Linked DNA regions of Diceros bicornis minor. The protein of the gene in region 2 interacts with the protein of the main gene of each other region in a biochemical or structural test. Links are inferred from orthologs where the notes say so. Each region holds a gene or a part of one and is shown on either strand. Other genes may lie near its edges. The genes, in order: CIB1 and TERT.

Region 1 (14,823 bases), on a different chromosome or scaffold from region 2:
GCCCAGCTAGTTCACAGAGGGCAACATTGAATGCCTCACCTTCCTTTATCCCAAAGCTGGACTTCCGGGCCCACAGAATTACTCGGACCCCCGTGAGGGCTGAGGAAGGTGATGTGTTTCCTGGTAGGGCCCCCCGAGTCACAAACAAGTTATGTGCAATCTCATGGTCAGTCAGGTAGTCAGTAGCCCGACATACCCTGCTTATCAAGGCTTCCAATTCAGGCCCTGGCCCGCTAGTGTAAAAGAGGAAGCCAGGAGCTGGAAGAGCCTGGAGCAGATGCAAATGACCCCCAGGGTCCAGGGGCTCGCTGGGTGCCCCCTCCACGGGCAGTCTGTGGGCCAGGTAGTAGCCATGCAGGTGGAGGTGGTTCACCGAGGCCAAGCCCCCCAGGCTGTTGAAGCCGACACGGAAGCCCGGGTGTGAGCTCAGCAGCACAGCCTCAACCCCGGCCTGCAGTGCCCCTGGCAGCAGGCGCTGGGGGAGCCCGCAAGCGGGCTCGGGCACCAGCAGCACGTGGCCCCACTCCAAAGGGCTGACGTTGATCACCACGAGGATGTCCTCCTGCTGGAGGGCACCAGGGAGATGGGGCTCCCGGTGCAATCGGAAGAGGACTTCTCCTGGCTGGATCTTGCTGAAGTTAAACTGTTCAGGGTCGAACGCCTGCCTCACGCTCCTGATGTTCTGGGGGCGCCTCCTCTGCACACCTCGCTCCACGTTCAGCTGAGCCACAAACCCCACAGCACCCGGGAGGGTTTTGGTCTGCAGCTCCCCCAGGTGGTAGCGGAACAAGCCCAGCTCCATCCGCTGCCTCCAGGCAGAGCAGAGTGCAGAGTCGAAGCGGGACAGCGGTGGCGTGCCCGGGAGGCTGGGTGCTTTCCCCGGCCACTGAATCCCTTCCAGCCTGAGCTCCTCCTGCCGATACACAAAGTCAGGAATGCCATGCCCTTCCCAGTCCTCACTGTTTGGAGGTAGCAAATAGGAAGTTTCATTTGAATCACATGGAATAGCCATGGGGTTGACCTGAAACAATCATAGAGGTGAAAAACACACGATGCTATCCCATTTCCAGAGATTTTATTTTTATTTTCAATTACCTTTTACTTTTTGATCTTATTACAAAAGTAATGTATGCTGTTGGTAAACCATTTTGAAAACACGGAAATCACTCATAATTCCGTCACCTGCAGATTAGTCTACGTTTTTGCTGAATTAAAAGTATATATCAAATTTTTTTCTTTCTAAAAATTATATATATTGAGTAAACTTTCTTAATGGAGAAAAAATAAACTACAATCCTTATTTCAATGCCCAGGGAAAATAAACAATTTACATTTAGCTTCATTTTCATATACAGTCATGTGTCGCTTAATGACGGGAATACATTCTGAGAAATGTATCCTTAGGCAATTCTGTTGTTGTGCGAACATCATAGAGTGTACTTACACAGACCTAGATGGTATAGCCTGCTACACACCTAGGCTATGTGGTACTAATCTTATGGAGCCACCGTCATATATGCACCGTCATATATGTTGTTAAGCGAAATGTCATGTGGCACATGACTGTACAGATGGATCTTGATTTTTTCAACCAGTCTTTAACTGTTGGACACATAAGTTGTTGCCAAGTTCATATTATTATACACAATGTTGTGATGAACATTCTGTGTATTTATCTTTGCAGAGGTGTTTTTATATTCCTTTAAAATAAAATCCTAGTAGACCACTGGGTCAGAGAAGGCTCATAGCTCAGGCTTTTGATGGACACTCTATCAAACTGCCCTCCAGAAAACTGTACCAGGGTTTCAGTGTATGAGAATGGCCAGGGTTTCAAAGCTGACCACTCCTGTGTGGGAATAGCTTTTCCACTGATAGTGATTCCAAATGGCCAAGCATGGAGCCATCTGGGTGAGAATGGCCCAATGTGTGCATACATGCCCAGGGCCAATCCTTCAGGGGGAAGTCGGTACCTGTCTTCATCTCCCACTGAGCCCCTGGAGCCCTGTGGACCCAGAGGTGTCAGGGAGAGGGTCCTACTGTTAGCCAAGATAAGACTTCAGAAGGTGGCTTACCTCAGGAGAGTCGCTTCAGTCCAAATTTGCGTTCCCTCAGCTCTGCTGGTCCAGAAACTTCACATTAATAAAACAGAAAGGAAACATGACAAACATACAAAATGACATATCATAAGTTGAGTTTAATGGGTATAGAGTTTCAGTTTTGCAAAATGAAAAAGTTCTAGAGATTGGTTGAACAACAATGTGAATAGACTTAACACCACTAAACTGCACACTTAGAAATAGTTAAGATGATGAATTATATGAGTTTTTTACCACAATAAAAAAGTTTTTTAAAAGTCAAGCTATGCATAATTTTGACAATAAAATGCAAAGTCTTAAATTATTCTATTAAAAGTGAGTCTCAGACATTTCTCCAGAGAAGATACACAAATGGCCAACAAGCACATGAAAGATGTTCGACATCTCTAATCATCAGGGAAACGCAAATCAAAAACACAGTGAGATATCACCTCATAGCCATCAGGATGGCTACTATCAAAAAACCAGAAAATACAGGGTTGGTGAGGATACAGTCATGTGCCACGTAACATTTCAGTCAACGATGGACCACACATACGACAGTGGTCCAATAAGATTAGTACCGGGGCCGGCCCCATGGCTTAGCGGTTAAGTGCGCGCTCTGAGACTGGCCGCCCGGGTTCGGATCCCGGGCACACACTGATGCACCGCTTGTCTGGACACGCTGAGGAGGTGTCCCACATACAGCAACTAGCAGGATGTGCAACTACGACATACAACTATCTACTGGGGCTTTGGGGGAAAAAAAGGGAAAAAAAAAGGAGGAAGATTGGCAATAGATGTTAGCTGAGGGCTGGTCTTCCTCAGCAAAAAAGAGGATTGACATGGATATCAGCTCAGGGCTGATCTTCCTCACAACAAAATAAAAAATAAGATTAGTACCATATAGCTTAGGTGTGTAGTAGGCTATACCATCCAGATTTGTGTAAGTATACTCTATGATGTTCACACAACTACAAAATCGCCTAAGGATGCATTTCTTAGACCGTATCCCCATGTTAAGTGACACATGACTGTACAGAGAAATTGGAACCATTGTGCACTGTTGGTAGGAATATAAATGATGCAGCCACAATGGAGAACATGAAAATTCCTCAAAAAAGTAAAAACAGAATTACTATGTGATTCAGCAATTCCACTTCTGAGTACATATGCAAAAGAACTGAAAGCAGGGTTTCAAAGAGATAGTTGTACCCTCATGTTCACAGCAGCATTATTCATAATAGCCAAAATGTGGATGTAACCCAAGTATCCATCAATAGATGAATGGATAAACAAAATGTGATACATACATACAAAGGAATATTATTCAGCCTTAAAAAGGAAGGAAATGCTGACACATGCTACAACGTGGGTGAACCTTGAACATATGTATGTTAAGTGAAATAAGCCAGACACGAAAGGACAAATATTGTATGATTCCACTTAAATAAGGTACTTAGAGTGGTCCAATTCATAGAGACAGAAAGTAGAATGGTGGTTCCCAGAGGCTGGGGGGAGTGAAGAATGAGGACTTGTTTGTTGTTTAATGGGTACAGAGTTTCAATTTTGCATGATGAAAGAGTTCCGGAGATTGGCTGCACAACAATGTGAATATACTTAACACTACTGAAGTGTACACTTAGAAATGGTTAAGATGTCAAAATTTATGTTATGTGTTTTTTACCACAATGAAAAACGGTCAAGATGGTAAATTTTACGTTATGTATATTTTACCACAATTAAAAACATTTTTTTCTTTTAAGCAAGTCTCATGATAGATTTGAGAAATCCAACAATTTGCTGAGCTATACTTAAGACAGTATTCATTACTCTCTCATTAATTCATTCATTCATTCAGCGTCAATGCCTACCTCGGGCCCACTCCTGATGTTCTGGCAGCAACTCTTCTGTGCCCTCTGCTGCATGTTCAGCTGAGCCACAAAACCCATGTATTTATGACGTAACTGTTGCGTATGAGACAATGAAGACACAGTGGCAAATAAGGCAAACAAGGTTCCTATCCTCATGGAACTTACACCCTGTGGTGGAGTCAGACGACTACCAAAATGAACATGTTAACCACCCATGGTTATAGCATTCTGTGGGAAATAAACTAGTGATACAATAGAGGGTAACTAAGAGGTGGGATCAGGACATCCTACTTCAATAAGAGGGCAGGGCAGGGCTCTCTGAGATGACAGCTGAGCTAAGACATGAAGGGTAAGAAGAAGCCTGCAGTGAAGAGCTGAGGAACGTGTGTTCTAGACAAAGCTAACTGCAAGTCCAAGGCCCTGAGCCAGGCAGGCACTTGGCCTGTTTGAGAAACAGAAAGGAGGCCAGTGTCATCAGAGCATGGACAACAAGGGGAACAGGGCCCCAGGTGAGGCTGGAGAGGAGGCAGGAGCCAGGTTAGCTGCAGGGCCTTGTGCAACGCAGTCAAGTCCAGCTACAATATGCTTGTGTTAAGGATTTATTTAAAACCCAAGGAGCGGGGCCGGCCTGGTGGGGTAGCGGTCAAGCGTGTGCGCTCCGCTGCAGCGGCCCGGGGTTCACAGGTTTGGATCCCGGGCGCGCACTGATGCACTGCTTGCTAAGCCATGCTGTGGTGGCGTCCCATATAAAGTAGAGGAGGATGGGCACGGATGTTAGCCCAGGGCCAGTCTTCCTCAGCAAAAAGAGGAGGACTGGCAATGGATGTTAGCTCAGGGCTAGTCCTCCTAACAAAAACAAAAACAAAAACAAAAAACCCAAAGAGCTTGGATTTTATTCTAAATGGAATAAGAAATCACTGGCAGGTTCTAAGCAGGACTATCTGATATTTTATATATCTTTTTCTAACCGCTGTGTAGAAAATGGATTGTAGGGGAGCAAAGAGGAAGGAGAGAGACCATTTCAGAGGCCACTCTGGTAGCCAGGTGAGCAATGAGGGCAACTGGACAGCATCGTAGGCAATAGAGATAGAGAGGAGCAGGGAATGTGGGTCATGTTTTGAAGGCTGAACCAAAAGGGTCTGCTGACATGCTGGCTGTGGGGACTGAAGGAGAGGGAAGAACTGGGAGCGACTTGGCTCCAGGAACTAGATACAATGCACTGGCATTTACAGAGATGAAGAGGCTGGGAAGGTGGGTGGGAAGAGGTTGACTAGAGGAAGGGGGGAATCAAGGGTTTAATTTTGATTACAGTCATGCGTAGTTGAATGATGGGCATATGTTCTGAGACATGTGTCATCAGGCGATTTCGTCGTTGTGTGAACATCATAGAGTGTACTTACACAAACCTAGATGGTAAAGCCCAGTACACACTTAGGCTCTATGGTGCTAATCTCACGGGACCACCGTCAGGTATGTGGTCCGTCGTTGACCAGAACGTCATCATGGGGCATGACCGTATTGAGTTGAGATGCAGCTGGGCATCCAAGAAGAGAAGTGGTGTAGGCAGTTGGATAGTTAAACTTGGAGGTCAAGGGTAAGGTCTGGGCTAGATATAAATTGGAGTAACATTTAAAGCCAGGGGCTAGGACCAAAGACCCAGGACCAAGACGACACCAAAAGGCTAAAAATATGAGTAAAGACATATCAATCAACAGAATCAATAAAAAGTGGGTATGGGCATATTTATATTAAAATGAACTAGTACACAAAAAGCATTACCTAGGGATAAAGAGGAATACTTTAGAGTGACAAATCAGTAGTGACCATGTGACAGAATTCAACCTTTATAGGAAAACCAGGAGAAAGGGAACACTAGTTGCATGTCTATCTCATACCAGGCATGGGCTGCGGGGTTTCCAAGTCCACTCAGGTGACCCTGACAACAAGCCTGTAAGGTGGGTAACATCCCAGGAAAAGAGTGAGAGACTAGTTTTAGAGGCTGACAAGGTGTTTGAATTCTACCTCTATCATTCATTGATGCGACCTTGAACCCCTAGAATAAAGTTCATTTCCTTAGCACGGCCTCTGGGCACTCAAGGCTTAGCTCTGCCTCCCTCTCTCACCTCATCTCCTACCACTCTTCCCCTTCCCTACTCTGCTCCCTCACTCTCACTAAGCTTGTTCCTGCTCATGGCCTCAGCACTTACTATTCTGTCTGCCTAAAATACCCTTTACCCAGATTTTCTTCACATGGCTGGGTCCTTGAGGTCTCAGACCAAATGTCACTGCCTCAGAGAAATCTTCTGTGGCCACCCTATTTAATGACCCAAGGAAAACAGAGAGAAGGAAACAATATTATAAGCAGGGAAAAAAATGTCTTGGAAAACAAGAAAAAAGGAGAATACATAAATCCAAGAGTTGGTACATTGCCAAAAATATGATCTACAAACAAGCCTTTGAAAAACCTAAGAAACAAAATGTTACAATAAGCAGCACTAGAAGCTATTTTTAAAAGTTTATCAGCAATTCAGTTTTATCACTGCATCAAGAGTTGATCACACACAAGAAGCACAATATGCTAACCAGACTCGCCAGGGACTGCTGGGTGACTCAGAATGCCTATTTAATAATTTACAGTGAGAAACATGCCAAACAGCACAAAATGTTCTTATTGGCTGCTCAGTATAGTCCCTCCTCTGTACAAAAATCTACCAGGAAGCAAAATTATCCTCAATGAAGAAGGGTTCAGAGCCAAGTGAGGTGGCTGGGAGATCTAGATCACAGCTGGTCACCACGGCACAAGGCCGACTCCCACATCTTCCCGTGAAGAGATACAGTCTCACCTCGAAGTCCAGGGATCTGCCTTGGCTGGCCAGTGCTCCCTCTCCTCAGTCTAGTACAGAAGACACAGTAACAGCTTCTTGCTCTTTGCCTACCCTTTTACCAACTGAAGACCAACCTTTTCTTGGACAGAAAGAGACCACTATCAAGAGAAAAATGATCATGTTGGGACAGCACTATACTCCAGTCACTTTGACTGGTTTTGGTGTTTCCACTGCCCTGCAGCCTCCACTTCTTGGAATGGAATATTTCCACAACGGTGGGACTCAATGTTGATATATTGAATCTTACTAACGTCACTCTCGGATGATCACTTTATTATTGAGTGCTGGGAAATCTAGTCACTCAGCAAACATTTACTCAACAACTGCCACATAGCAGGTCCTGGAGATCATGATTCTCAAAGCTCATGGGGCTTCCAGTCTAGTGAGGGAAACAGACATTCACTCAATCATCACCCAAGTAAACATAAAGTGCAAACATGATACATGCTGTCAAGAAGCAATTGTGAGACAGATTCTCAATCTAGTCTGGGGAATCGGGAAAGGCTTCCCTGAGGATAAGACGGAAGAGGCACTGAGAGCCCAGAGTGGCTGAAAACAGAGAGCCTGAGGAACCAGTAGAGGGAGACGCCAGAGTTAGAGTACAGGGGGCTAGAATTTGGGTTTTTACCACTTAATGGTTAAATGGTTAAGACCGAAATGCTCAGCTTTAGACTTTACAAAGATCAGCAAGTAGAATGACTTGGAAGAATCCAAAACTAATCCCTACAATTTTGTCAATTATACTTCAATGAAGCTGAAAAAAAAACAAAAAAAAGAATCTCACCTCCACCTCCTCCTCTCAGCAGCTTGGAATCCTCTCCTTTTGAAATAACGTAGGTTCATTCATTCATGCATGCATCCAGTAAATATTTACTGAGAGCCGCCTATGTGCCAAGCATTGTTGTAGGGGTGGAGCAAACAGGTCAGCCTCAGTCCCTATCGCCCCGAAGCACGCAAGTCTGGGCGCAGGGTGGGGGTCAGAGGAGAGCATGCAGGCAGGAGTGAGGAGTACAGCAGTTGGGAGGCTCGAAAAGAGCCTCACACTGGAGCGACCGCTTTCACAATGCCCGAGCCTAGACAACTCACCAAGCCCTTCTGGACACTTGTAACGTTTCCACACTTGTAAAATGGGAACCGACCTTGCAGGCCTGTTGTAAGAACCGGAGATAACTAGGCACAGCGCTTGGCATACAGCTGGCCCTCAGCAGAAGGCCTCAGCTGGCCGCAGGGTTATGGTGACTTCTGGAGAGGCGGCACTAGGGCTGTAACACGTGCGGCGAATGCCGGGTGGTAACGCCAGGATGGAAAAGCCCTCGCCGGGCAGAGGGGCAGCCGACCGCCTCTGGCCACTCAGTTAGTCTCGAGTTTCCCGGTTACCCTAATTCCAGAGACTTCCCTGATGCCCCTTACCGGACCCCGCCCAAAGCCGCCGCATCCGCGGCCACCTTCAGCAGGTGAGGAGGACTCACCACGCGAGCGCGCCCAAGCTCCCACCAGGGCCATAGCGAGGTCGCGGCGCCGTCCACGCATGCGCAGCCTGCAAGCACGCACGGGGCGCGACCCGACACGCCCACCTCGGAGGCGGGGCCGTGCGGCCCGGGCTCCGCCCCGGAGCGTCCGGCTCCGCCCCGGCCCCGCCTCCAGCTCGCCGGGGACCGCCTGGAGTCGGGAGCCGGCCTGCTGAGCCCGGCGGAGAGCGCCTGGGCGCTTTAAGGAGGGGGCGGGCGCCGGGGCCGTGGCCCCAGGGGCGGTTGCCGCGGGGACGGGGCGGGGACGCGGCCCGAGAGCGGAAGTGAGAAAGTTGCCGGCGTCCCGAGGCGAGTTGGCAGAGCTGTGCGCGCGGCGCTGCGATGGGGGGCTCGGGCAGTCGCCTGTCCAAGGACCTGCTGGCCGAGTACCAGGTGCGCGGGACGCCGGGCCCCAGGGAGCTTGCGCGCGGGCCTGCGCTCCGGAGCGGGATCCCCGAGCCGGGGGCAGGGCGGCGCGGCCTCCGGGCGGCCCGCTGAGCTCCGCTCTCGTTTGCCTTCCAGGACTTGACGTTCCTTACGAAGCAGGAGATCCTCCTGTAAGTGCTGTCTCGATCCTCACCTCCAGGACCCCCTAGAGGCGGCTTCGGGGGGGCTCTTACAGATGGGCAAACTGAGGCCCCCCACAGGGAGGGTCAGGGGCCTGCCTGAGGTCAGCAGCTGAGCCGGAACTGGAGTCCAGGGCCCCGAGCCCTGGGCTGTGTGCCCTCTTCCCGGCACGCCCTCCCCACTCGCGCCCGGGGCTCCAGCTCTGCACCGCGGAGCCACTTCGTAGCCTCCGGCCCAAGTTAGGCGCTCTTTGACCCTGTGCTCCACTGGCTTCTGCAAAACCGAACTTCCGCCCCAGTCCGGCAGGAACTGCTGTGGCTCTCGGACGACCTCGCCTACTGGCAAAGCCGCAGAAGCCTTGGGGAACCTGGCTCCTCCTCCCAACTTTACCTGAATAATTCAGTAACCGTTAACGCTCACTGAGTACTTACCCTGCCCAGGAACTGTGCTAAGTGGTTTGCCTACATTACGTAATTTAATTCTCATGGGAGAGGTACGGGGACAATGAAACAGGTTCAGAGAAGTTTGGTCGCCTGCCTAAGACTACACTCCTAGTAAGAGGATTTGAACTGAGGCTGGAACCCTATTCCTAGTCGTGTGCCAGCTTTTTGTGGCCAGGGCACTTGAGTAAGGAGATTCCTGGGCTTCCCTTGGCAAAAATAACCTCAGTGGGAAGGAGGTGGGGGGCTGAGGAGGAGATAGTTCAGGGCAGCTGCTAAAAAGAGGGAGGCTTTGAGGAGCAGGAAATCCCTGGAGTGAAATGAGAAGGAGATTTCGATTTTGCTCTTTTCTCCCTGTTCTTCAGGGCCAACTTCTGACTCCTTCCCCAAACTTTCCACCCCTCAGGGAGCTCTGGAATGAGGGCCCAGCACAGTGCCTGACACACAGCAGGCACTCAGTACATACCCATTGCAAGAATGGACTCCCAGCCTGTACTGTCTTGTGATGTCCCTCCCTTCGGCTTATCATGCCTGATGACTCAGAAGTTCTGTTTAGGTGGCTTAGCTCCTCACCTGGTTTGCAGTGGGTAGCAAGGCAAGGAGTGGGGATGCAACACCCACGAGAAGGCGCACCAACAGGTTCCCCTCCTTCTGCCAGAGCCCACAGGCGGTTTTGTGAGCTGCTTCCCCTGGAGCACCGGACTGTGGAGGAGTCACTGCAGATACGGGTGTCCTTGGAGCAGATCCTCAGCCTTCCAGAGCTCAAGGTGCTAGCCCCCCACCCTCCCTCTGCTACTCATTGCTCCCCATTCTGGTCTTTTCTCTGTGTATCCCTAATTTCCTGAGGGCAAGGGCTTTACCAAAATCGCCTGATGGAATTATCTAGAATGGTGTTTTTCAAACTGGGGTTCTGGGACATATTCTTGGAGGTTCAAAGTTTTGTCCTTTAAGAGGAGTTACCTTGTTAAAATTTGAGAAACTCTATTCCAGAGGCAGATTGCCTTTCCATAGGGCTGCTGTGAAAATTTCCATGCAAAGGGCCTGGGCTAGCACTTCCAACAGTAAGTGTTAAGTAGATGTCTGTCTTTTATTTTTTTATTTTATTTATTTATTTTTTTAAACAGTTTTATTTATTTATTTTTTTGTGAGGAAGATCAGCCCTGAGCTAACATCCGTGCTAATCCTTCTCTTTTTGCTGAGGAAGACCAGCTCTGAGCTAACATCTATCACCAATCCTCCTCCTCTTTCTTTTTTTTTCCCCCAAAGCCCCAGTAGATAGTTATGTGTCATAGTTGCACATCCTTCTAGTTGCTGTATGTGGGACGCGGCCTCAGCATGGCCGGAGAAGCGGTGTGTCCGTGCGCGCCCAGGATCCGAACCCGGGCCGCCAGTAACTGCTAAGGCCCGGGGCTGGCCCTGATGTCTGTCTTTTAAAATAACCAGCCTATCCTGTTCTCTTTGCTTAGGATGTCTTCCTCTTCCTTCTCTGTCCCCCAGCCTGCCTTTGGGTTAAACTCCGACTCCCAGGAAGCCATCCTGTCCCATCCCCAGCTGGGTCATTGGTCCTTCTGCCCTCCATGCTGGCCCCAAAGTACTGAGGTTCTCCCTCGTGAGCCTGAGCTCATGGTGCGAGTACCGTGACCTGCTCCCTCCAGTTCCTGGTAGGGTTTGATGAGTGTGCGACCTGGGCTGCGTCCTGTGGCGTTCACAGAATGCTCTCTTGCCTAGGCCAACCCCTTCAAGGAGCGAATCTGCAGGGTCTTCTCCACATCCCCAACCAGGGACAGCCTGAGTTTCGAGGACTTCCTGGACCTCCTCAGTGTGTTCAGTGACACAGCAACCCCAGACATCAAGTCCCACTATGCCTTCCGCATCTTTGGTAAGGACCAGGCGGAGCCTGGTGGAACACCGCCCCTTCCCACGTGGTCTTTGCAGTGGTACCGCTTGGGAGCTGGGAGTCATTCATGGAGCCTTGAAGCTCATCTTGACCATATCCTTTTTGGCTTCCTGTCTGCTCTTTAGACTTTGATGATGATGGAACCTTGAACAGAGAAGACCTGAGCCAGCTCGTGAACTGCCTCACGGGAGATGGCGAGGACACCCGGCTCAGTGCTTCAGAGATGAAGCAGCTCATTGATAATGTGAGGGGCTGGGCCGGGCCAGGGAGCAGGAGGGAAAGGTTGGGGCTTTGGCCTGAAGCTCTCCCTTTCCCAGATCCTGGAAGAGTCTGACATTGATAGGGATGGGACCATCAATCTCTCTGAGTTCCAGCATGTCATCTCCCGTTCACCAGACTTTGCCAGGTATGACAGTGGTTCCCATCTGCTGCATCTCTGTCTTGGATGTTATTATGGGAGGTGGTGCCCGGTCTGAGAGAAAGCCTCCTGCTTCCTCTGAATGTATCACGGTAGCTCTTCTTCTACAGGGGACTGCCAGGTGTGGGACACAGCCCCTTCCAAAGGGTCTTAGGGGAGAGGTGGGTAAGTTTGGGTTTAGTCTCTATTCTCTTCCAGCAAAAAACCCAACCCTCTCTTCTCGTCAGCTCCTTTAAGATTGTCCTGTGACAGGAGCCACAGCATGTGTCCCAGCACCCTGTTGAAGAACCTTTTCACTCCTGAGCTGTGGCCAAGGTTATGCCTGTGTCGCCACGGCTGGCCAAGCTGGCCCAGCCTAGAGCTGGCACTGCACAGTCTTGCCCCGGGCAGGGGAGGGGCCTCCATGTCAAGGCCTCTCCCCTTCTCACTGCCAATGTCATCACTGTTTGTTTCTACTAATCAATAATAAAGGTTTAGAAGTTTTGACTCTGTGTGTGACACTACAAACACTGGTATGAAGAAGGACTGGACTTCTAGCAGCCTTTGGTCATATTGAGAAAAAGTAGGACCTAAAGAAAGGGCCAGCAGGAAGTCAAACTGTACCCACCCCTCCCACCCTCTCGTGAGGATGTGCAGCTGAAGGGTAGCATCAGGACAGAACTCTTCTGTATCCTGGTGGTGGTGGTGGTGGTTACATGAATTCCTACATGTGTTAAACTTTATAGAACTGTATACCATAAGAAAAAAATCAATTTTACTGTGATAATTTTCACAACGAACATTTTTTGAAGAGTTAAAAAAAAACAAACCACCCTGTCACCTGTGCCCCTACCCCTGAACTGAACTAGAGAAGCAAAGTAAAGGGGCTGAAGTAAACTGAACAATCCCCCACCCCTGCCCCATAGTGCGTTAACTCACCACCTTAAGAACCGTGCTCCACAGGGGAGACAGTCAGTCAGCCAGGCTAGGCTGGCTCTGGCCCACTAACCCCTCAAAGAGGAGGCTCAGAACCTCCCAGATCTCAGAGAACTAGACCAACTTCAAAGAGCAACAGTCCTCTAAAAGGAAGGGCCACAATTCAATTTCAATTCTTTAGATTTTATTAAAAAAAAAAAAAAAAAGTAAAGTGCGTCTTGTTTAAAAAATATAAAACCCACATCAACTCAAGACCCCTGTGCTGGGCAGTGTCAGTATCCCTTAGATGGAGGCAGGTGATGTGTAGGGGGTGAACTGGGGACTGGGCCTGAAGACAAGGCTAGGGTAGATGTGGGGAAGAGGGACACACAGGTTCTCTCGGCTGTGATGGAGGAAGGCAGGCAACAGTTCCTTCCTTGGGTTCCGAGGGAAAGGTCTAATTGTCATCAACTCTCTCCTGGGCTCATGCGCTGCCCTCTCTGTCATGTAGCCACAGCCTGATATAGGCTGGAAAGGCCCAGCGGGTGGGTCCGAGCCCCGGGGCCGGTGAGGGCTGCAGCACTGGCGTAGCTCCCTGGTCCCTGAGGTGACAGGATGATGGCGGTAACAACTTGGCCAGTCAGCAAGGCAGGACTCACAGCGCCAGAGCTGGCCCTGGCTCTGCGGGGAAGGCAGAAGGTGGAAGAGACTAGCTGGGGGGGATTTCCAACTGTCTCAAACACCCACTTTGGATGAGTCTCCAACGCCCCTGCAGGGCCTTGCTGGGGGGCCGTGAACTGGAGCGGCTGTTTGCTTGGCATTGTGTTGTCTCTCACTCTTCTCACTCGTAATTCACATTTTCAATTGTCTTTTAAACAAAGGGCTCAGTTTACATAAGGAGCACTGTTCTGCCCACCTGGGCAGGCCCCCATCTTCAGCCAGGACCTCCGGGACCATGGCTATCTCGGTTGGAGAGGACCTCGCTACTTGGCTGAAAAGCAGCAGGCCAGCTGGCCCCATCGATCCCAAGGGCTGGGCACCATGGCTGTGTTCCACGAGGAGCAGAGGTCCAGCCGACCCCCTCTGAGGACTCCCGGCCCTTGAAGCCAGGGTGGCCTCCTCTAGAAGTCTGCTCTCATACCACAGAGTCCCGGATCTCAGAGCCCAGGCGGACCCGGGGCCGGGGGCACACCGGGGACACCTCCACGAAGCTGTCCTGGATGCTGAGTGGCCTCTTCTCTGACTCAGTGAAGACCCGGGGCTCTGGGGGGCTATCTGACAGGGCTTGATAGCCTCGGTGATCAAGTGGGGTGCTAGGGGGGCCCATGCCGTTGAGTGGCCGGGTCTCAGGTGGCAGCACCACAGGGCGGGTCTTGGGGTGCACACTGGCACACTCCCCCTGCTTCAGGAAGACTTTCATGCCACCCCGGTGCCGGTACAGGAAGAATAAAATTAGGAGCACCACGGCGAACACAAACAGCGTGCACATCACCAGGAACTCGGTCCAGTAGGACTTGTCCTCACCCCAGCTGACCTCGTCGCTGGCTGGAGCACTCACCCGCGACGTGTTGATAATGACAGGCACGCTGCCACTGTGGTCCCCTCGGTCTGCCACCTCCTCTACCACCTTTGGGCAGTAGCTGGTTACTAACTGCCGGAAGCCCTCCTCCAGCGACCAGCACTCGAACACCCCCAGCTCCTGCTGGCTGCCCACCAGCAGCAGGTCCCCAGTGGGCAACACACGGCGGGAGGCTGAGGCATTGACAGGGGCCCCATTGTGCAGCCAGAGCCGGGCCGCCAGGTTGGAGAGAAGGGGGCAGGTCAAGGTGTTCACCGTGTTGGGCTGGAACTGGACTTGCTCACATGGCTTCTCGCCTGTGGGCAGAAGAGGCACAGGGTAAAGGGGGGCTGGTGTCCATAGCAGCCCCAGGCTCACCCACCTCCCTCTGGACTGTGCTCCTTATGCCATGACAGGCAACTCTGGGGACTTCAGGGACTGTGAGGCTCACTTCCCAGGGTCCTGCTTGTAGGGCTGGAGGGATGAAGATGTGAGGAAAGGCATTTACACCCACCAGTGCCTGCAGGAACCTTCCAAGCAGACTTGGCTCCCACCTCGCCTCCATCTTTGATGGGGCACCTTACCTGCTGGTGCAGAAGACCGGGGCCTGGCCGAGGAGGTGTTGCAGAGGTCCCTGGCGTTAGCCCCCTCGATGTCCTGGATCCATGGCCTGAGGACCAAAGAGAATGTGAGATAGGCCAGGAACC
Region 2 (14,561 bases):
AACTGAATGAAAACTAAAACAAAAAATATCAAATTTGTGATAGCGTGATAGTAAGACGAAAGTACAGCTGAAGCAGTCAGTAAAGGGAATTCATGGCACTAACAGCCTATAGTAGGAAAAAAGGAGGCTTCAGTGTCCTCAACTTCTACCGTAAGAAACTAAAAAAGCAAATTAAATCCAAAGTAGAAGAATGTAATAAATATAGCAAAAATCAATGTATAGGAAAAAAAAGCGAGTACAGAAAATTACTGAACTCAGAAGGTTGTTCTTTGAGAAGATCAATAAAACTGACAAAACTCCAGGCAGACCAATTAGGAGAAAAAGAAAGAAAACACGAATCACAGCATCAGTGATGAGGGAGGTGACATCACTACAGATTCTTCACATATTTAAAGAATAATAGAGAATATTACGGATATGCAAATATAGTCAACAATTAAGACAAAATGGACAAATTCCTTGAGAGACACAAACTACAGAAGCTCGTGTGAGAAGAACTAGGTGACCTGAAGAGCCCTCTATCCATGTAAAAACTTGCATTTGTGGTTAGACCTTACCACAAAGAAAACCCAGGACCAGAGGGCTTCAGGGTAGATCCACCTAATATCTAGGGAAGAAATGACACCAGGGCTACACAGACTCTTCCAGAAGACTGAAGAGGACGGGGTGCTTCCCCACGCACCCCACGAGGCCAGCATGGCAGACAGACACAGCCAGAAAGGAACAGTGCAGACAGCAACTTCAGGACTCGCACCTGAGCAGCCCTCAAGCTTCTCTGCCGTTGTGGGCATTTTGGCATCTTTCTTTTTTGAACCTCACGGGAAATCTTCCTTGTATCTTACAAATGAGCCTCCATTTCCTCACTCGGGTTTCTCAGGTCACAGACCTTCTTTCCTGAAGTACACTCTTCAGAATTGGGCTGCCGGTAAGATCCGTCCAGGTTTATCCAGACAAAGCATCTTTATTTCACCTGCGTTCTAGAGGGTGTCACTCACAAGACGGTGGCTTCCTCGGGGTCCCTGCGGGCCTCTTCCTGTGTCACCACCGCTGGCGGTCATTCTGTGGGGAGTGGTCTGTCTTCTCCCGTCTGAATTTAAGCTGTTCTTTTTGACAGTTGTGCAGCCCCTTCTCTCGTTCTTTGGTGTGTAACACACTTATGTCAGTGGTGTCTTTGTGTCCTCCATCAACAATAGAAAACGTCACCATTTTCCCTCAAACAGTGCCTCTTCCACACTTTGCCCCCTCTCTCCTGCGATCTGCTCCATTCTTCTCTCTTAATCTCTTCCCGTTTCCAGTCTTCTGTCTCCCTATGCTGAAGTCTGTAGTGTTTTCAGCTAGACCGTTTTCCATATTGCCAATGTTCTCTACTGTGGTACTTCATCTTACAGGATTTTTATCATCATTATTCAGCCACATATGTATAATCGTAGACGTTCCACTTGACTCTGAATCCTCCTGGTCTTTTAATAGTCTTGCCCCTTGCCCTACCTTACCTTCCCACTCTTTGTTCTTAGATTTACAAAACAAATTTGTGCTGTGCTATGAATCTCCTTCAGTAGCTACAGACTCTGCGTCTGATTCTGTTGTGTTTTGTTTTTTATTTCTGCCCTCTCCCGTCATGGTGCTTTGTTCTCTTGTGTGTTTGGAGGTTTCTGATTGTGTGTTCATATGTGATTAAACTTAATCTCTAGGAGCCCTGAGACCTAGAATGTTGATGGTCCCTTCCAGGGAGAATTAGCGCTTGGTCCTATCCCAGGAACCTGGCTCTGTGGACGTGAGGTGCCCTGAGATCTCTCAAGGGCCCCGCTCCACAGGACTAGGGGAGGAGAGACCAGGCGATGCGGATTTCTGAAAGCCAGAGTAAAAAGTCTGGACTTCATTCTAAGCAGCAGTGAGGAGGCATTAGTGGGTATTAGCAAGATGTGACACGCTCTTACTTGTGCTTTTCAAAGATCATTCCGGATGCTCCCTGCAGACTGCAGCTGGCAAGAATGAAGGAGCTGGAAGCCTGTTGCAACAATGCCAGAGATGACAATGGCTACATGTGCACGTGCCAGAGAGGAATCAGGATGGCCCCTGGGATGGTGGCTTCATCTTTCCTTTATCTTAGGCAGTGACCGAGCTGTATCTGTAAGGAAGGTCGAGTTCAGTCCCTCCTTTTGCGGAACTGCTGAAGCCCTCTGCTCAGGAAAACTCAGAAACCCGGCTCCATGGTCATTCCCTCTTTTCTCTCCCCATCTCCCTGCTCTTCTGATGGGAACAGAGCCGCCCAGGGCACTGATTTGCCCAGCCCTGAGTTTCTCGGACCCCAGTGAGGCCCCCTCCTGAAGGGCTTCATGGAGGCGGCACTGACCCTGTGCCCTGAGCTGGGGAACTAGGATGGTCTGGGCCGGGAGTGGGTGTTCACAAAGGGAGTGATGAAAGGACTTAATTCTGTCAGTAAATTCTACCTTTCCACATCCCAGTGGATCATTTTATCTTACTGCTTTCTTAAATTTCATCAAATGACTTTCAAGAGTGCAGAAACCCACAGGCGTGCAACCGGGACCAAGCTGTGTTTGCCAAGGTGCAGGGACTGAGGATCGCGTGCAAAGGGATTTTTAGCCTTGAGCACATTTTATTGGTTTTCATAAGGTGATTTAAGGTGCGGGAGAAAGTATACAGAGACCTGGAAATAGATCAGGACGGATTAATGGGGCAGAGCTGCCAAGGGCAGAAGGTAAACGCCTCGTCTGCCAAGACAGTGGGGAAACATGGCTGTTTTCCCTGGGCACTGCCAGACCCAGCGAGGCTCTGGCAGCAGAGCTTGGCGTCAACCCAGGACTCTGACGCCCAGGCAAGCCATGTCCCCAGAGGCCCCCCCAACTCGCTGCCTTTCTCCTGGCTGTGCTGTGTCTCCCCAACCAGTGGGTGTGTGGGGGTACACTGGCCTTGGACTCCACAGTCCCAGCTCTGCCCCAAACGATCGGGATTTTCAGGAACCACCCGCTCCGAGCCTGTGAGAAAGGACGATGGCACCGTCCACCTGCTTCCCGGGGCTGCTCAGAGACAAGGAGCTCGTGGGCACGAAATCTCCGTGAGTCGTAAAGCTCTATACAAGCGAAGGCCATTATTCCTAGTTATTTATCTCTTCCACTAAGACTTAAAGGAGTGTTCCAGGAACCCCTGCAGGTAAGACAAACCACGCAAAGCAGAGGCAGAAACAATCTCTGCTTCACTGTGCTCCCGGGACCTGCCCGGACTCCTGAGTGAAGAACCTGGGGAGAAAATAAAACGGGGGTGCTCTGAGCCCCCAGGATGGGGTCATAACAGCAGCGGAGCATTGGGTTCCCTAGATTCAGGGAACCTGGGAGACAGAGGACAGACTCCGAGGTTCCGTAGGGCAGCCCCCCCTACGTGGGGGTCCATGCTACCAGGGACGGGGCTCCGTGTCGTCTGCTCCATCCGCCTCCCAATGAACCCCTTGGCTCTCCCTCGGGCCCACACGGAGGTCAGGCCCCTCTGCCCCTCTCTGCTTCTCCAGAAAACACTTCCTACACCCAGGTCCATAAACCTGCCTCATGGCTTTCTCTCGCCTCTCACCCCACGCCTGGTTGCAACAACAGTGCTTCTTAGGTTGTCTTTCTCCTAGGCCAACATCCTCTGAGCCAGAACCAGCCTCGAGCCCCAAGCGCAGGTCCTGGTGTCTTGGCCTGGCGCTCTGGCTCAGTCAGCGCCCTGCCACCCCCCCCAGGACCCCTCCCACAGTCTGCATTGTCGGGGCCCCTCAGGACCACGTGAGAGGCACTACACCCCACAGAGAGGCTACAGTGAAAAATCGTGACACCACCAGTGCTGGCAAGGACAGAGGAATGGGAGTTCACACACGTGGCTGGTGGGAATGCAGAATGGCACAGCCCCTCTGGAAAACAGTGTGGTGGTTTCCATAAACACTAAACAATACGACCCAGCAATTGCACTCCTGGGCATGTACCCCGGAGTAATGAAAATGTATGTAATTATGTACAAAATCCCGTCTACAAAGGTTCATAGCAGCTCTATGTGTAATAGCTTGAAAGGCGGGAAAACTAAATGTCCCTCAACAGGCGAACGGTTAAATTAACCGTGCACACCCACACCTCGGAATGAAGGCTGCTCCGAGACATGAGGGAGGTGGACCATCGACACACCACAGCTACACGGAGAGAGAAAGCCAATCTTGGAAGCTCACGTGACACAATGCCATTTATACAGCCTTCTTGAAATGACACAGTTTCACCCCAGAGCAGGCTGGTGGTCACCAGGGGTCAGGGAGGCCGGGAGGGCTGTGAGTGCAGCAGGGGCAATCCTGGAGGTGGTGGGACAGTCCGCATCTTGGTGGTGGTGCTGGTCACACAAATCTACACAGGAGATAAGATGACGTCGACCTGTACACACTCACCACGCGCCCAGGTTAGTGAGTTACGGGGGGTTAACCACTGGGGTGCTGGGGGGCCCAAGGCAGAACTGGGCCCTCTCAGCAGCTGTACTGTCTCTGCCACGCTGTGTCATGGGCAGACTGATGCCCCAAAGATGGCACATCCTAGTCCTGGCACCCGTGTGACCTCACCTGGCACAGGACTACGCAGATGGGAGTACGTTAAGGATTTTGAGGTGGGGGCATGGCCCTGGATCATCCGGATGGCCCTACATCAATCTGAAGGTCCTTGTGAGAGGCGGCAGGAGGGTCAGGGTCACAGAGGGAGATGTGATGATGGAGGCAGAGGGTCACAGAGAGCTTGGAGGATGCCTCGTTGAAGGCTCCACCAGGGAGCGAGAGGGTCAGGGCAGCACCAGGGGGCCTGCCTGTCTGTCCCAGTGTCCTGTCCTCCTGCCCCAGTGCTGGGCTTGGGATTGCACCTGCCTTTCTGTCAGCAAGGGCACGGTGTTGACCCCAGTCTTTGTTATGCTACCCCCTTTGTGGTCAGCTTCCATGAGGACAGAAGCCCGTGTGCATCCTGTGATGGGGCACTGGGTCTGTTCTGGCCGCTGAGACCTGTCTGGATCCCGATTCTGCTGTCCCACGTCTTGGCTCCTCCCCCAGCGGCAGGTCTGAGACACAAGCCACGTGCTCCCCCAGGACACTGCCAAGAGGGTGCCAGGCGGGGTGTGCGAGGTGCCCCAGGCGTGCCATCGGGTGGGTGTGGGGCAGTGCATGGCAGTCACTACCCTCCCCGTGCTGCCCTCCAGAGCCGGCTCTCCTGCCACCCCAGCCCCCGAGCCCTCAGTCCAGTCACTGTGACCCAGGAGCCACGTGGTGCCCCATGAACACTGAGCCCATGCACGGACCAACGCCGACCACTTACTCAGACGTGACCCTGTGCTCGTCACCGCACAGCCTGGAGGTGACGGATTCTATTTCCTCCCCATGCTCGGGGCTCAGCCTCTGTGGGTTTCTCTGTGATCTGCAGACCAGGGACCAGTGGCCTGTTGGTGTCTCTACAGGTTCTTGGAGCAACCAGAAAGGGGCAGCCCGCAGTCCAGCGGGGGCTCCCTGACTGTCTCTGCAGGGGACCCCCAATGTCCAGGTACTGGGCACACTGTTGAAAATCTCTTCATGTCGGTCCCCCTAGTTCCTTAGTGAGCCCCTCACTCACGCAGGGGGCTCCTCCCACTCCTTCAGTGACCGATGATGCATCAGGAAGCAGCAGGTGTGAAGTGTGACGCCCACGTCCCCTTCTGGAAGTCCTAGAACGGGATTTCGCTGTTGTATTTCTCGTAAGCCAACAACATACATTTTTTCTTGGTACGTTTTTCATGTCTGAAGACACAGTGATTTAAGACCGTGACCAGTTTCTCGCAGAGAGAAACCGTGCACAGGACACTGGAGGGAGCATTCCAGAGGGCGACGATTTCCATCTGAGCTGTATACTGACACACTGTTCATCACGCTAGCATGGTTTTCTGCCTCGGTTTCCTCTATTCTTTTTTTTTTTAATTATGTTTTCCATGCTGGTTTCTCCAGGTGAACCAGCGTACTGTTGTTGGAAAAGAGCAAATTTCCCGGAAGCAGCCCAAATCCTCCAGTGGCAGAATGAGCAGTTCTCAAACGCAGCCTTGGGCCTTGACCGTGCCCACTAGACACACTTCTGTCTAGAACAACAGCCCCGATCCCAAGTCGCATGAGCCCTGGCAGACCCTGATCCAGCAGACAAATATGAGACGCCGTCTGTCCAGGGAAGAGAGTGGAGGCTTGTTTAAATGCCACAGCCTTGAATACAATTTCCTGACTGGGTTTCTTACCTCGTGAAAGATTAACATTTGTTCAGCCTGTTCACTGTTTGCCACGGGCCTCTGGAGACCCAGAAGTTTCCCCATTTCTTAGCGACGCACACGTGAACATCCCACAGTGTCTGGGTTCGGGTGGAATCTCATTATGGTGACTCCTCTAAGCTGTCCTGTTCATGTGACGAGCCATTGTCAAAACTGCCCTCCTGGGTCTGGGGAGGGGCGACTCGTGGGGAGGGTCTCCACCCCTTGGCTGCAAGGCGGGGGCTTCTGGCTCTCTCTGGGGCACTGCAAGGCTGTAGGCGGATCCCTTGACCTGTCCAGTCTCCTCTTCCTCCCAGTGTGTGGGAGGGCAGGTGGTTCTGGGGGCTCGGGGATGAAGGCAGCCATGGGCAGGTGACACCACATTGGGAGCCTGCGGCTCCATTTTCTCTCCTTCCTTTGGTGGATGACCTCATGATCATTGATTATTAGGGAACTGATTTGGGGTTTTTGTGTATGGTTGGGACCACAACAGAAGCCTAAGAACCCGGAAAGAGAAACTACAGCCCGGGATCAAGGAGACCAAGTCGTCAGGGGAAGTACTGCACTGACCGCTGACCACTGCCAGCTGACTGCTGCCCACTGACCACGTGGCAAGGCCTGCCCACTGCACGCTGACCATTGACCGCTGACCACTGCCCACGGCGGGAAGAGCTCCGGGAGCACCACCTCATGCCCGTCGAGGATGCGCCTTTGCCCTCAGTTTCCCCCAACCCCGCCAGGCGGGAGCAGCGGTGTCCATTTTCTCCTTTCCAACGCACCTCATGACACGTTCGCTGTCTTGCTCCTTCCAAACCCCTTCTGCAGGACCCCAGAGCAGCCCTCTGTGCCAGGGTCACGGCCCACGTGAGAAAGTGACAACCCAGAAGGACCCTCTCCCCAGGGGGCGCAGAGCGCACCAGGTCCCTCAGGGACCCACGTTATGGTCCCCTCTCTCGGGTAACCCCCAGAGCCTCTCCGCCGTGAGACCCTTGCTGCGACCCCTGCACCCTGGGATGGGTGAGGGGGCTGCCAGGGTGCAGCTGGGCGGTGGGGGCACGCCGGGTCCTCGATGACACCTGGACGCGGGAATCCGCGGGCCGCAGGGAGGGCAAAGGCCGAGCACCTGCCTCCCGCGACCCCGCCCCTCGGGCCCGGCCAGACCCCGCCCCCGGGCGCTGGGCGACCCGGCCCCTTCCTCCCTCCAGCCCCGCCCCTCCGCGCGGCCCCCGCCGGGCCCCGCCCCTTCCTCCGTGCGGACCCGCCCCCGCCCCGACCCTCCCTCTGCCGCGCCGTGCTCAGGTGGATGCAGCTCGCGCTGCAGCCGCGTGTCTGCGCACGTGGAGCCCCGGCCCCCGCCCTCGCCTGCGATGCCGCGCGCGCCCAGGTGCCGGGCCGTACGCGCCCTGCTGCGGGGCCGCTACCGCGAGGTGCTGCCACTAGCGACCTTCATGCGGCGCCTGGGGCCCGAGGGCCGGCGGCTCGTGCGGCGCGGGGACCCGGAGGCCTTCCGCGCGCTGGTGGCCCAGTGCCTGGTGTGCGTGCCCTGGGACTCGCAGCCGCCCCCCGCCGCCCCGTCCTTCCGCCAGGTGGGCTGTCCCCGGGGACCTGGGTCGGGCGTGCAGGAGTTGGGGAGGGAGGGCCGTGAGGAACACGGCAGGACGCGGGCTGTGCGCCCCGGGTTCCCGGTCACCTTTGTCCCCGGCGAGTCAGAGCCCCCCCTCCCGCAGGTGTCCTGCCTGAAGGAGCTGGTGGCCAGGGTCGTGCAGAGGCTCTGCGAGCGCGGTGCGCGGAACGTGCTGGCCTTCGGCTTCGCGCTGCTGGACGGGGCCCGCGGCGGGCCGCCCGTGGCCTTCACGACCAACGTGCGCAACTACCTGCCCAACACGGTGACCGAGACGCTGCGCAGCAGCGGCGCATGGGGGCTGCTGCTGCGCCGCGTGGGCGACGACGTGCTTACCCACCTGCTGGCACGCTGCTCACTCTACCTGCTGGTGGCCCCGAGCTGCGCCTACCAGGTGTGCGGGCCGCCGCTCTACGATCTCTGCACCACCGCCGCGGCTCGGCCTGCCTCGTCTCCCTGCCGCCGGCCCACGCCACACGCGGGCGAGAGCCGGACGGGCCTCCGACCCACGCGCCAGACCTGGAACGGCGGCGACGTGGGGGCCAGGGGACCCCCAGGGCCACCAGCCCGGAGCGGGAGGCGGCGTCGGGTCAGCTCTGGGGGAAGTCCACCTCCAGCCAAGAGGCCCAGGCGTGGCCTAGCTGGGGAGCCGGAGCAGGGGCCCGTCGGGCAGGTGTCCCGGGCGCACCTGGGCAGGGCACGTGGGCCAAATGACACCGATCCCCACGTGGTGACACCTAGAGAAACCGCCGTGGAAGCCGCGTCTTGGGAGGGCGAACCGCCGAGGACCCGTCTCCCCGTCCCCCCTCTGCACCGAGAGCGCGAGGCCGGCTCCCCACCCACGCGGCGGTCACCGCGGCCCCGGGGCGCACACGATCCCCGAGTGTATGTCGAGACCAAGCACTTCCTCTACTGCTCTGGCGGCAAGGAACGGCTGCTCCCTTCCTTCCTGCCCAGCTGCATGCAGCCCAGCCTGGCAGGGGCCCGGAGACTCGTAGAGACCATCTTTCTGGGCTCGAAGCCCGGGCGGCCAGGGCCTTCCCGCAGGACGCGCCGCCTGCCCGCGCGTTACTGGCGGATGAGGCCCCTGTTCCGGGAGCTGCTTGGGAACCATGCGCGGTGCCCCTATGGCGCGCTCCTCAGGACGCACTGTCCGCTGCGGGGCGTGGCCACCCCAGCAGGGTCCGCTGACCAGGGGTGCGGTGGAGTGGGCGTCAGCGCCCGGGAGAGGCCAGCGGCGGCCCCGGAGGAGGACGCAGGCCCGCGGCGCCTTGTCCAGCTGCTCCGCCAGCACAGCAGCCCCTGGCAGGTGTACGCGTTCCTGCGGGCCTGTCTGTGCCGGCTGGTGCCTGCTGGCCTCTGGGGATCCAGGCACAACGAGCGCCGCTTCTTGAGGAACGTGAAGAAGTTCGTCTCTCTGGGGAAGCACGCCAAGCTCTCCTCGCAGGAGCTGACCTGGAAGATGAAAGTGCAGGACTGCGCCTGGCTGCGGAGCCCAGGTGAGGAGCCCGGGGAGGAGGCGGCGGCCCTGCAGCATCAGGCCCCCACCCGGAACGCAGCAGAGCCCCTCCCTACGCGGGTAACCCCACCTGTGGCTGTCGGGTGGCTCATCTGATTTCTCTGCCTCTGATCCCCTCTCCCATCTAGTTTTCATAAAACTGTAAGACCCACGTATAAACCTACGAGACCCTCATGGACTCAGGCAGGTTCTGGCAGACAGCAGATGGGACACACGTGGAGTAGGGCTCTGGCAGCAGACAGAAGTGTCCGAAGTTCTCCTCAGCGGGCCGACGGGTTATTCAGGATCCCTTTTTTGACATCAGGGTTTATCACCTTGAAATGGTGCCCCACTGATAGAAATGGGAGCTGGGAGATAAGCCTCCTGAGTTTCCTGGACACACCTGCTCAGCCACGCCTGCTCAGCCACGCCTGCTCAGCCAGCGTACAGATCTGAATTTAAGTTTTGATGTGTGTCTGCTGTGCCTGGGCAGGGCAGACAGAGGAGGGTAGAAGAACTGTCTCCTGAACAAGGACCCAGTCCCATCTTTAGGAAGGAAAGGGTCACCAGGGCGACGGGAGCGGCAGGGCTCTCCTGTTTCAGGGAAGTGGCCACCACCAAGGGTGCTGGCGGGGCTGCAGCTGGGGCTGCAGTGTCCCTCCGGCTTTGATTTTCTCGGTTTGATGTTGAGGTTCCTCTGGTCCAGCCACCACTCAGCCCCCTCTCTCCCAGTGCCTTCCTGGTGGGCACACCAACACCACGAGTGGACAGGACCAGCCACCACCCTCCTCTCCCTGATGGTGCAGCAGCGGCCAGCATGGGCCCCAGTGTTTTCGGCTTGACCCCCCCCCAAACTCCCACAACACCCAGGACTCCTAGAAGAAAGAATGGCAGAGCCTTCGTCAGAGCCACGTCTGCCCATGGGCTGCACGTTACAGTCTCCTGGGGTGGGGACTTTAAATATGCCCCGCCCATCCCCAAAGATCTCGATTGCCATGGCCTCCGTTGGGGGGTGCGGGGCACACCCTTTCTGGCTCCCCAAGAGGCTCTGCGGCCAGGTGATGCGGACGAGGTGACCTTCCAGCAACTGGGTTTTTTAAGGTTTTTTTGTTAATTGTGGGGGGGAAAAACACATGAGGTCTGCCCTCCTAACAGATGTTTAAGGGTACGGAACGGTATTGCTGAGTGTAAGCGCGGCGTCGTACTGCTGGTCTCTCTGGTGTTCTCATCTTGCGTGACTTGGCGCCTGTTGGCCAGCAGTCCCTGCCACATGTGACAGCGTGGATGAGCTGGGAAGGCGTCATGCTCAAATGTGTTGTCACATGACTCGTTTGTGCCCTTGGGGCTCCAGTTTGCTTTGAAAGGAGAGTCTGGGTTCTGTAATTTGGCTCCCCGATTTCAGATGAGGTCTGCCGTGCCCCTGTGTCCTGTGGGCACGAGGAGGTGTTGTTTCCCAGGCAGCTGGGACCCAGCCCCTGGACCACCCGGCATCCTCGCTGGCTTGAGCTGTGCCCAGGCGTGTGCCCCTTTCCGTGGCTGTGGCCCCGCGGTTGCCTACTGTCTGAATAAATGATGCACAGTATGGCGTTGGCCTCTGAGCCCCCTTTCCTGGTCACCTCTTCCGTCCTTTCCTGCTGGGACGCCCCTTCCTCTGTGCAGGTCGTCTGCCCTGCCAGGCACTCCATCAGCCCCCCTGGGCTCATTTGCCTCTGTCAAGCCAGCCTTGACCATTGTCCTGTCTGCTTGCTGCCCACTGACTCCCCTCGGCTCTCTGGTCCCCAGCGCTGGAGGCCAGACTTCTGGGGAGTCCACATCTGCTGTCAAGTGTTGCTAGAGATGTTGAAAAAAGGATTCCTGATGGCAACTCGGAGGTGCCTTGGCCCCTTGCTCACTGCCTCTCCCCTGGGCCCCTCATTGGGCTGGTGGCAACCTTTGCTCTCTTAGCCTGGGCGCAGATCAGGCTGCGCTCTGCCTCCACTGGCCCTGTCCCATCAACTGACATCTGACCACACGATCACTCTCCCTAAACTGTGGTCAGGGTGTATCCCTCCTGCTGAGGCCCCCTTGACCTTCAGAGTGGAGCCCCCATGTCCAGGGGGCCTTGTCGGGCCTCTCATGGATCTTTGTTTGAACTTGGCTAAGTTCTCTCTGGGGGTGAAGTTCTTTCTGGGGTGACATCCTTCCCTCTCTTTCTTCAGGGTCACTCAGTCATCCCACTTCTAACTTCTCCGGTGAGCATTTGGCTATGTGTTTCCCTCTCAGTGCTGCTTTAGCTGCACCCCACATTGGGCTGTGTCACTGCACATTTTGATATCAATTGGTTTTAAGTGTTTTCTAGCTTCTGTGATTTCTTCTTTGATCACGAGTTATTTAGATGTGTGTTTTTTATTGTGCAAATGGATGAGTATTTTAAATTATCTTTTTGTTATGGATTTCCAGCTCAGTTGTGTAGTGGTCTGTATGATCCCAGTTATTTGAAGCTGTGGAGACTTGTTTACGTTCCTTGTGTATTTAGAGGCCTGTGGCTGGTTGCTGTGTTCACCACATCCAGCTTATTAAGGTGCCGGAACACCGAGAGGGTGTGCAGTCTCACTCGGGGTGGGTTTGTCCATTTCTTCTTGTTCTCACGGTGTTTACATTGGGTTTTATTAGGCGCCTGCATGTTTTAGGATTTTTATCTTCCTGGTGAATGTCTAGGCGTGCATTTTATTAAAGTCCATTTTCACTGTTGGCAGAGCTGCAGCACTGGCTTCCTTTTAGTCACTGCTTGCTTCTCATATCTTTTTTTGTTGTCTAATTTTTATTTTCAACCATTTTTTAGGTATGTCTTATTAATAGCATGCAGCTGACATTTTAAATGTTTTTTCAATCCAATCTGACATCTTTGCCGCTGACCTGGAGAATCCGATTTCTTTCCATTTTTTTGTGATTACAGATGTGTCTGGATGCTTCTCTTTTCTCTCTGTTTCCAGTTTGTCTGCTTTTTCCGTGTCCTTATTCCTCATTTCCTGATGATTGTGTGCTCTCTCTCGCCATGTGTTCTCATTCTGGTTTTCCCTCCTGGCAGTTAGAAATTACCTGTTCTGTCTCCCTCTCTCACTGGTTACCTTCTCCCGAGCAGCCCGGGCCTCAGCGTGTGTCAGTCTGATCTCACCACTCCTGCTCCTCCCGCTGACTTCTCTGTGTCCACCTCAGACACCGTTGTTCCGCGTCCTGTGATCAGGGTTTGCTGCCTGTACCCCCTCTTTCTCTTCCTTCATTCACCATTCTGTCTTCTGTCTCACGCCTGCCTCTGGATCCCCTTTCTTCTCCTTTACACAGTGCTTCATGTCGGTTCTTGGTGGTAAAGCCCAGGCTCCACGTGTGCCGTGGCCCCTGTGGCAGCCTGGTGACACCTGTGGCCCTCTTCTCATGACATCTCTACGTGCATAGAATAAAATCAGAGCACTGCAAAGGAAGGCAGACATCCCAGCCTGTGGTGCATGTCGGAGCCCCCGTGGCATGTGGTATCCCTTAACTAGTGTGTGAGCAGCTCTGCTCACCTGGGTTGGTCAGCCTGGAAAACCCCAGGCATTTCTGGATCTTGCTGCTTGGTGACGATGCCTGAAATCGTACAGATCAGCGTAAAAAAGGAAAAGGTGAAACCAACTTAAAAATGTGTTTCCTTAAAGCCCAGTATGTCCAAACTGTTGCCACTGGAACACATGGGCAGGAGAAGCACCGTTAACAAGATGCTCCGTATTCTCCCACTACCCGGTCTCTGAGAGCCGGCGTGTGGGCTGCGAGGACTGCATAGCTCAGTGGGACCTGCCCCGTTTCCAGCGGCCGTGGCTGCCTTGAGGATGGTGTAGACGGGCGAAGCTCGCTGGGCCTTGGGTGAGACGTGGCTCCGTGCCTTTCTCGTTCCAGGGGCCCACTGTGTCCCAGCCTCAGAGCACCGGCTGAGAGAGGCGGTCCTGGCCAAGTTCCTGTGCTGGCTGCTGGGCACGTACGTGGTCAAGCTGCTTAGGTCATTCTTCTACGTCACAGAGACCACGTTTCAGAAGAACCGGCTCTTCTTCTACCGGAAGAGTGTCTGGAGCCAGTTGCAGAGCATTGGGATCAGGTATCACAGCCCGAGCGTCACCCCTGCGTTTCCTCCGTCTGCGCAGACGCTGGCCCTGACTCCTGCTCCCGGCTCCCCAGCCCCTCCACATGGGTCCATCACCCCCACTACTCTGGGGGGTGTGGGGCTCTCGGGGCCGGGAGCCAGGGGACTCCGTCATGGTCCTGACGCATGAGGGTCCCACACTGGGCACAGACTCCTGAAGCCCCCTTTCCTCACCTCTGGGGTCTCGAAAGTGGAAGAAGTTAGTACTGAGTGGAAACAGCAGTGCTGGCAAACCTCCTCCTCGTCCTGGTGTGTGGGTCGGATCCTGTTGAATTCATACAGCATAAACAGCGCTTGTGTCCTGTTTCTGCGGCAAGTGTCAGGACAGAGGCGTCCACTGTGAAACAGACCCTGAGGCGGTGACTTCGAGGTTCTGTGGCCTCCGCATGGATTTGTCTCAGTTGCTCAGCAGCTGTTTTAGGTTTATTTTGAAGGATTGTAGCGGATATAAGCTGGATTGGGTTAGGGATGTGATAGCCTGAAAGATAAGGCCTGCCCTTCTGCAGCCAGCCCAGCCATGGTGCCCAGTGTCCTCAGAGGGCTTGGCGAGGACCCCGAAGGCGCGAGGTCGGGGCTCCCAGGCTCCACGGCACGCCCGAGTCAGGACCCCTGCACAGGGAGGGGGACTCTGAGCCAGGTGGTGCTGGGACCCCGGGTCCTGCGTCTGGGAGAGGGTCTGAGGCCTTTATCGTGGGTCTGAGGTAGTACTCAGGGCACTCTATTTAATAATTTAAGTATTTCATGGCACATGATCCAACGTGGCCATGCAGACACTCCTTGTAGGGACCGTGGAAACCTTTGCTCTGTCTGGTGGGTATCCACGTCCCGTGAGGGGCTGTACTCTCAGAGCCCTTCTTTGCCAGGGCCACCAGCCCGGGGAGCATCCTCGGCCCTGGCAGGCAGGAGGTGGGGGCACCCAGCCCCTCCCTGTGGGTAGTTTTGGGGGAAGGCCAAGAGGGAGCTGGCGGGTCCACGGGGAGATGATTCTGTTTCTTGGCTGCGGCTGCACCAAGAGCCCCTGC

What was found.
Region 1: the proteins of TERT (region 2) and CIB1 form a complex in vitro, tested with the Homo sapiens proteins (2 studies listed by BioGRID). The link is inferred for Diceros bicornis minor from reciprocal best matches to the Homo sapiens genes TERT and CIB1.

Annotation. Positions count from the first base shown.
Region 1 is NC_080744.1:93,849,596-93,864,418, reverse strand, and holds CIB1 (calcium and integrin-binding protein 1), read left to right. Parts: upstream 1-8,619; 5' UTR 8,620-8,684; coding exon 8,685-8,735; intron 8,736-8,864; coding exon 8,865-8,899; intron 8,900-10,007; coding exon 10,008-10,116; intron 10,117-11,077; coding exon 11,078-11,228; intron 11,229-11,371; coding exon 11,372-11,490; intron 11,491-11,563; coding exon 11,564-11,652; intron 11,653-11,891; coding exon 11,892-11,913; 3' UTR 11,914-12,150; downstream 12,151-14,823. Other genes in the region: GDPGP1 (GDP-D-glucose phosphorylase 1), read right to left, coding at 1-1,012; SEMA4B (semaphorin-4B), read right to left, coding at 13,694-14,433, 14,701-14,786. UniProt on the Homo sapiens protein: Calcium-binding protein that plays a role in the regulation of numerous cellular processes, such as cell differentiation, cell division, cell proliferation, cell migration, thrombosis, angiogenesis, cardiac hypertrophy and apoptosis.
Region 2 is NC_080759.1:61,423,758-61,438,318, forward strand, and holds the start of TERT (telomerase reverse transcriptase), read left to right. Parts: upstream 1-7,634; 5' UTR 7,635-7,637; coding exon 7,638-7,856; intron 7,857-7,997; coding exon 7,998-9,390; intron 9,391-13,298; coding exon 13,299-13,494; intron 13,495-14,561. UniProt on the Homo sapiens protein: Telomerase is a ribonucleoprotein enzyme essential for the replication of chromosome termini in most eukaryotes. Active in progenitor and cancer cells. Inactive, or very low activity, in normal somatic cells.